Drosophila melanogaster: one gene and its partner. The protein of the gene in region 1 interacts with the protein of each later gene in a pairwise test. Each region holds a gene or a part of one and is shown on either strand. Other genes may lie near its edges.

Region 1 (3,608 bases):
AGTCGCTTTTCGTCGCGCAGCTCGAAGCGCTTGCCACGGATTTGCTTGGCTATCTCGCGGATCTCCTTGAGCGTCTCGTCCATGGTCATATCGGGCACCTTGTAGACGCCGCTCTCCTCCCGCAGTCCCTCCTCGCGCTCCAGCTCCTCCAGCTTGTCGAAGATGTCGGCATCGATGTAGTCGGCAATGTTGTGACCCTGCCAGAACTCTGGAATAATGTCGTAGCGCTCCTCCTCGGGGATTTCGCTGTAGTTCTTCTTGAGGTCCAGCGTGTAGTCGTCGCCCATCTCCTCCTCGATCTCCTTCTCCAGCTTGCGCTTGCGCTCTGCCTTGTCGGCATTCTGTAGCAGGCGCGCCGAGGCCTTTTCTGGGATGCAGGGTGCACGAAGTTTGTCATCTCGCGGCGCTGGCATCGCCACATGCAAGCGGTTCAGGATGTTGTCCACCTTCTTTGTGCGCATCTTCTGGTCAACACGGTACGAGAGCAAACGCTCACATGCCTCGGTTTTCACCTCCATGACACCGGTTTCCTGTACGGTGGACATGAGCATTACGGGAATGTTCTTGTCCTCCTGTAGTTTGGTGATAATCGCTCGTCGCTCCTCTGGCAGATCCTCTGGTGTTAGAATATCGATCTTGTTGATGGCCAGGATGAGGGGTTTGTTTGTAAACAAAGGCTTGATGCTCTCGAACAGCTTGACCTGTTCCTCCAAGGAGTGTCCGCACTGCTCGGAGATATCCATGAAGTACAGGACGCAGGCGCGCAAATGAGCCAAGGCAGTAATGGCTTGCATTTCGATCACATTGCGCTCTTCCAGGGGATGATCCAGGATGCCGGGTGTGTCAATGACCTGCCAGCGCAGATATTTGTAGTCTGTGTGTCCCACGTACAGGGATTTCGTGGTGAAGGCGTAGGGCTGCACTTCCACATCGGCGCGGGTGATCTTGTTGATGAACGAGGACTTGCCCACGTTGGGGAAACCGCAGATGATGATGGTACGCGAATAGGGATCGATGGTGGGCAGACGCGAGAGATGCTGACGCACTTGCTCCAGATACGTCAGATTGGAGGCCTGTCGCTTCATAATGGTGGCCATGCGACCCAGGGCAGCTTTCTTCAACTGTTTGCAGCGATACAGCGAGTCACCGTACTTCAGCAGGCGCACGTAGTCCTTGGCCACACTGCGGGATAAAAAATAGAATAGTTAATCGAACCTTGTTCGTTTGGGGATCTGTGACTTTGGCACTCACTTGTCCACCAAATGCCTGGCTGTGTTGAGTTGACCCAGCGCCAGCTTGTAATGATCCTTGTCGTACAGCACGTTCATCAAGTCGGCGTAGAAAGGATGCACGTCGTCCAGTTTGGGAAAGTCCTGAATGATCTGCGACAAGCGATCGTGGAAGTTCTGCTGCGTGTACTTCACCTTGCGCGTGTAGAATGCCCGGATTCTGGATATTTTGTAGCCCTTGTGGACCACCGTCGGGGTCTTGCGCTGTGTCTTCGACAGCATAATGTCGATGAAGTCCTGTGGAAAGGGCAAAAAATAAAATATTATTTACATATTGCGCATATTGGTAAACACCTCCAGTGAGGTTATGTCTTTGCTTCAAGGGGTGCTCCGCGGGACGGGCGCTGCTGGGTACACCTTACCTTTGCTGGCGGAACCACCATGATCTTTTTGAAGTTGTACAGACTCATCTTGGCAGGATTTGTTTATTTTCCACGCGTCGAAAGGAAAATAAATGCGGAATCGAAAGCAAAAACACCACGCGGTGTCAGCTTCGTATTCCAAAAAGAACCGGTTCTCGGGCGGAACCAGTTTAGGTTCACATGTGCTGCACGGCGATGCCAGCCCGCGTAACTAAGTCTGGCGATGTGGCATCATTTCAAAGGCATTTAAGATGTTTCAACTTAATTGCAGTTGTTTAATATAGAAATATATCCATCTAAAATATGAGCGAGTATTTCAATTCATTAATTATGTCTATTTTACGTATGCACTTCAAAAATTGTATTACTATTTCAATTCAAAAGGAAATTATTTTTAATTTTTATATAAATTAAACAAAATCACATCTTCCAAGAGGCAGTACAGTGGAAACATGTTGAAACTGGCGTAGGAACCAAAACAAAACATTTTGGCAACACAAACAAAATGGATTCGGAAGCTGCGGGAGTAGCACTTCTCTCCAGAGAGCAAATCATCAGGATACTAAGCGAAGTGCCAGCGGGATTCATAAAGCCCACGGATCCGCCTGCACCCAGTTTGGCGCCCTTCAAGAAACTCGGCGTTCTCGTGGACATCGATGACATCTTGGGCGAGCAGGATGCGGCGGCAGCTAGGATCAGGGACAACATAGATAAGGAGCAGAGCTACAGCTGCGTAGAATGCCGAAAAATGCTGCCCACTGCCCATCTACTGGATCTGCACATCACCGAACAGCACGATTGCTATTTTGCCGCCAGCGTGGAGCGCGGTGACAAGCCCATGTTTTCCTGCTTTCTGGAAGAGTGCACCATCAAGTTTCATACTGCCCGGCAGCGCAAGGATCACTGCATCATAACGCACAAGCTTCCGGCAAACTATCGCTTTGATCATAGCAAGAATAGGGGCAAACAGAAGCATCAAGGCAAAAGCAAACCCAATTCCATGGAGGTGGACGAGGTGATAGAGGAAACTAAAAGTTTGCCCTACGTCAAGGCCTTCAGCTTTGGACATCAAACGCAGAGGAGTTTCTACACAGGCAAAGATCAGAGATCTGGCAAAACACTGGACGATGTCCAGGCCATGAAGGAGGCCATTAACGACATCCTGGATTAGATTTGTACAACTACATATTTATTTTGCGAATGAAGCAGCATTATCATTATCCTGGTAGAACTATATTAGTCTGTTAGCGGAAACATCCTACATCATTTTGCCTTGGCACTGGGCCTGTAAATAAATGAAAATCGGTTTTATTGTTGATTCCGGGCTGTCTTCTTCCTCTTCTTCACCAAGTGGGATTACTTACTTTCCGGTATTGGCATTAATATAATGATAGGCAACCACCAGCAGGAACAGAAATACGCCCAGAACGTTGGAGAAAATGGCCAATTGCACGTCGGTGATCATTTTGCAGACAGTAACACGTTCTATGGATAAAAACAAACTAATTGATTAGAAACGAAGTGGGCGAGTGACACGTCATGGGTGCGGTGTGGAAATCGCGATTTCTGGCCTATTTCTGTATCCACCAAAATGCAACGCGGGATTATGCATCTCATTTGTCGATTAACTTCACCGATTGTTTCGTTTGCGTTCATTAACTTTAGTTTATTACCTTTTTCAGCGAAAAAACGAGCCGGTTTTTATTGTGTACAAATATTTCAGCGTGACCGTAGATCGACCACTAAAATATACCGATATACCTCGCGAACCATAAATAATACCAGATATACCAAACCGGATATTTAAAAAAAAAATCGTTTTCTTTTCTTTTTTTTCAATTTCAAAATGAACGTCATTTATAAAAAGTAAAAGGTTTCCACCATATTTTATTTTTATTTCAATAACTCCATAACATTTGAAATCCAAAACTCGTTATCACCTTTTTACTACAAATAA
Region 2 (4,059 bases), on another chromosome or scaffold:
ACAATAAGGTGCCACATGGCTTAGGCCCACACCCGTATGGTGTAGTCCCAACTGCCGGTGGATAGAGCGGTGCCATCGGGCGAGACCTGGACGCAGGACACCTTGTTCTCGTGCCCGTACAGCAGGCAGACCCTTTCCGATTTCAGCGTGTCCCACAAGTTGACGGTGTAATCGTTGTAGCCAGCAAACAGTAATCTTCCACTGACCGAAAAGTCCACCGAATTGACGCCAAAGATGATGCTCTCCTTGGCGAACACGGCCACCTCGCGATCCGCTCGCATATCGTACAGCCGGCAGCTGCTGTCATCCGATCCAGTGGCTATGGCATCTCCGCAAGGATGGAACTTAACGCTATTCACATCCGATTGATGACCCTCGAAGGACTGAACGACATGACCAGAGCGCATGTCCCAGATGAAGGCCATGCGATCGCAACTGCCCGAGACAAAGGTGTTGCCCGTTTCGTTGGGAGCCAAATCGATGGCCATTACATCGCCGGAATGTCCGTGGAAGCTTTGCAGTAGCTGGCCCGATTCCACGTCCCACAAAGCGCATGTGGAATCGCCACTGCCCGTGAGGATTTGCTGATCGGAATTCGGATAGATGCAGCACGACATGTAGCTGGTGTGGGTGCCCACTGTGCGCTTCTTGGCGGCCATCTCCTCATCGGAGGTTATCGGATACACGGTGACCTTATTGTCTAGTCCGCCGCAGGCCACAAAATTGCCCGACGGCGCGTAGGCACAGGCCATAATCCAGGTGGTGGGCATGGTGACGGCGTGCTCCTTGTTCGTGGTGAACGCATCCCAGATGATCAGACGTCCGTCCTGCGACGAGGAGATGATGTGACGCTTGTCGGGACTCCAGTCGGTGCACAGGACCTTCGCCTGGTGGCCCTTGAGCACCTTACGCGGCTTGATGTTCACATAGGCGATCTGCTCCAGCCGCTCTGCGATGTTCGACAGATTGACGTCGTTCAGCTTCTGGCGCTCCTCCTCCAGTTTGGTCTTCAAATTCTCCGCCTCTCGCACCAAACTGGCCATCTTTTCAGTGGCATTCGCGTTCGCATTGCTCGCTGGCACCGCCGCCTCCGACATGGTTGCTCTGAGATGGCGCTTCTATGGATATCTCTCGGGGATTGTGTGTCCTATCCCGTTCGAACTTCTCCAATTGGACAGCGAAAAATCAATCCGAAAAAAAGTGTATACTCGAATACGAAAATCCGAATACACAGCGATAGGCGCGGTCGGTTATCGATAAGTTTTACCGTTGGTAAATGGCAGAATGTACCGTTACATATCCTTTATTTTCGGAGAACTTGATAAAAGATTGTGACGATGTTATTATTATTAATTTTCATCAATATGACAAGGTATTGATGAAAATTGGCGTCAAAATTTGTTAAATTTTTGTTCTGTTTTTGTTAAAAGCCGGTTTTCCGAATTTCCCTCATAAAATAATCAGTTTTTTGCCCAGAACTTTGAAAATAATTGACCAAATATGGTATGTCATATCTCGTTGAACTCGTAATGAAATTTCCAATCGAATTGCATTCAAATTTGCGAATTCAAAATTTTTCCATTTTTTTGCAAATTTTAATTTAATGTTACCCCTTAAAAAACATGAAAAATATGACACAAAAATAAATTTTTCTATGCCCGCCCAAAAGTGATAGGGTTCGTTAGTAGTGATAATTGGCTGTTCAAAACAGTTATTCTTTAAGCTGCATGATGATTTTCCGCCAAGTTATGACTAGAAACTACTTGTGATAACGAACTTATCGGAGTAAATACCATTTCAAATGTGGCGCCACAACCAAGGTAAGCTCAACACTGCGGTTCGTTAGCCAACACTACCATCAGCTGGGGAAAACCACCCTTCCCCACCCCCTTGAAACAAACACTTACAAAAAAGCGACGCCAACGGCTGGAATCCTCTGCTAATCCGGAGCCAGTTGACCGCCACTTCCACACAGGCAGACCAGGGAGCAAGCCGCGATGATCAAGGTGCAGCCACCGCCGGATGTGGCCGGTGGCTACCACAATCTGCGTTGCGGCGAGGTCTTATTCAGTGCACCCGCCTCCTACGAAGTGAGCTGCTTGCTGTGCGACCAGCGTTTGCCGTTGGACGGCTACCCGGAACACTTCCGGCTGAAACACTTCACGAACAGCTCCAGCTCGCTGTGTTCCAACGAACTGGAAAGCGATCCCATTGCCCAGGACGTCGTCGAAGTACAGGGAAATGAGGAGCTACATGAGGAACTGGCAAAGGAAGCTAGCCCGGACTTAGAGGAGGAGGAGGAGGAGAAGGAGGAAGGTTCCAAACGCCAGCATTACCAGCGTGCAGCGGCCATGAAGAACACCCTGGTGGAGACTCGCGAGGATTTGCTGGACATCGAACTCGACTGGACGGGCGGCGAGCAGTCGGAGCATAATGAAACTCACGAGGAGGAGGAGGGGGAATCGGATGATGATGACACGAAGGACAGCAACGACACGAAGGACATGCTCTTCCAATGCGATCAGTGCGACCGGGCGTACAACACCAAACGCAGCCTGCAGAGCCATCGCCGCCTAAAGCACAGCGAAGCCAACGGCGGAAGTCTGGACAAATCCGCCAGTGAACGCAATAGCAAGAAGCGGAAAGGTCCGCCGAAGGTGTACAAATGCAACGAGGAAGCCTGCAACCAGACATTTCGCACCGAACGCGATCTGCGCGGCCATCGCTGGAAGCACACGGGAATCTTCTGCGACATTTGCGGCAAACCCTTCACCCAGTCGGGCAACATGATGCGCCACCGCCAGCGACACAGTGGCATCAAGCCGCACAAGTGTCCGGAATGCGACGCGACCTTTTACACGCAAAAGGAGCTCTCCTCGCACAGTATCTGCCATACTGGTCGCATGCCCTGCATCTGCGAGGTGTGCGGACGACCTTGCCGAGATCGAGGCGTTCTCACGGCGCATATGCGTCGCCATACGGGCGAAAGGCCGGCCAAATGCGAGGTGTGCGGCAAGGCATTCTATAGCTTTCATGACCTCAATGTCCATGCTGTATCGCATACCAATTTGCGGCCCTTCGTCTGCGACGTTTGCGGCTCCACGTTTCAACGGAAGAAGGCGCTGCGGGTGCACAAGCTGCTCCACTCTGAGCAGCGCAAGTACGCGTGCAAATTGTGCGGCAAGACGTTCGCCCAGTCCGGCGGTCTAAATGCCCACATGCGCAGCCATGATCCGGCGAGAGTTAAGGGAGCTGTGAAGCCGCTGCCGCAATCGGTCACCATCGAGGTGATCGAGGGCAAGAGTCCGCCCACCACCACCATCACCATGGCCATCGACCTCAATGTGGAGGAGCAGCTGGTAAAGCAAACCGAGACTGCACCCACCACTTGGCGCCTGGCCAACTGAGTAGCTAGCTAGGATTAATATAAGGTTAGATGTAGTTCATCTATAAGTTCCAAATTGCGCCATAATAAATGAGAGAAATCAGAAGATTGGAAATGAATTAATAATCGTAAGAAACCAGAAGGCAGATGCATAAAACGATTGATTTGCGGTACAAAAGTGTCCTTTATTGGGGTTTCCTAAACGGAGAGGGTTCCAAGCTGTCAGCGATCCAAGTCCAGATGAGTCTGGGCTCTAATCCTTGCCAGCGTGTGCATTCTACCCGGGATTCTTAGCTCTAAACATGTAGTTCGTATCGCTATGGACTAAGTTAAGTATTGGGATAAAATAATACATACAGCCTTTGTTGTTTTTTTTTTTTTTTTTCCAAACGAAATTGATGATCATAAACGGAGGCTTTTGCGTTAAAGGTTAAAAAAATATATTCCCGCCCCTTCGTTGTTTTCAAAAAAGGTACATATTTTATATTCTATGCGCTGGTCGGTTCACTCATTACTAGTTTTTCGAAGCGATAAACTGAAGAATTAAAACCTAGCATAATTCTAGATGCAATATTAAGTAAACTAGTTTAAAATAGGGCTGACATTTCTGCCAAATGGACGTACTCAGTTACAAATATAGTTAAAATCAATCAAATTGACGAGAATGTTTTGAA

The links.
Region 2: the proteins of l(2)k10201 (region 1) and CG18262 interact in a two-hybrid assay, tested with the Drosophila melanogaster proteins (one large-scale study listed by BioGRID).

What each region holds. Positions count from the first base shown.
Region 1 is NT_033778.4:9,396,933-9,400,540, forward strand, and holds l(2)k10201 (lethal (2) k10201), read left to right. Parts: upstream 1-2,147; 5' UTR 2,148-2,156; coding exon 2,157-2,822; 3' UTR 2,823-2,914; coding exon of another isoform or gene 2,915-2,936; 3' UTR 2,937-2,967; downstream 2,968-3,608. Other genes in the region: Non1 (putative nucleolar protein 1), read right to left, coding at 1-1,182, 1,252-1,526, 1,652-1,699; CG33774 (uncharacterized protein), read right to left, coding at 2,915-2,936, 3,016-3,116. UniProt on the Drosophila melanogaster protein: Vital for development.
Region 2 is NC_004354.4:8,151,047-8,155,105, forward strand, and holds CG18262 (uncharacterized protein), read left to right. Parts: upstream 1-1,901; 5' UTR 1,902-1,997; coding exon 1,998-3,407; 3' UTR 3,408-3,487; downstream 3,488-4,059. Other genes in the region: Gbeta5 (G protein beta subunit 5), read right to left, coding at 21-1,097.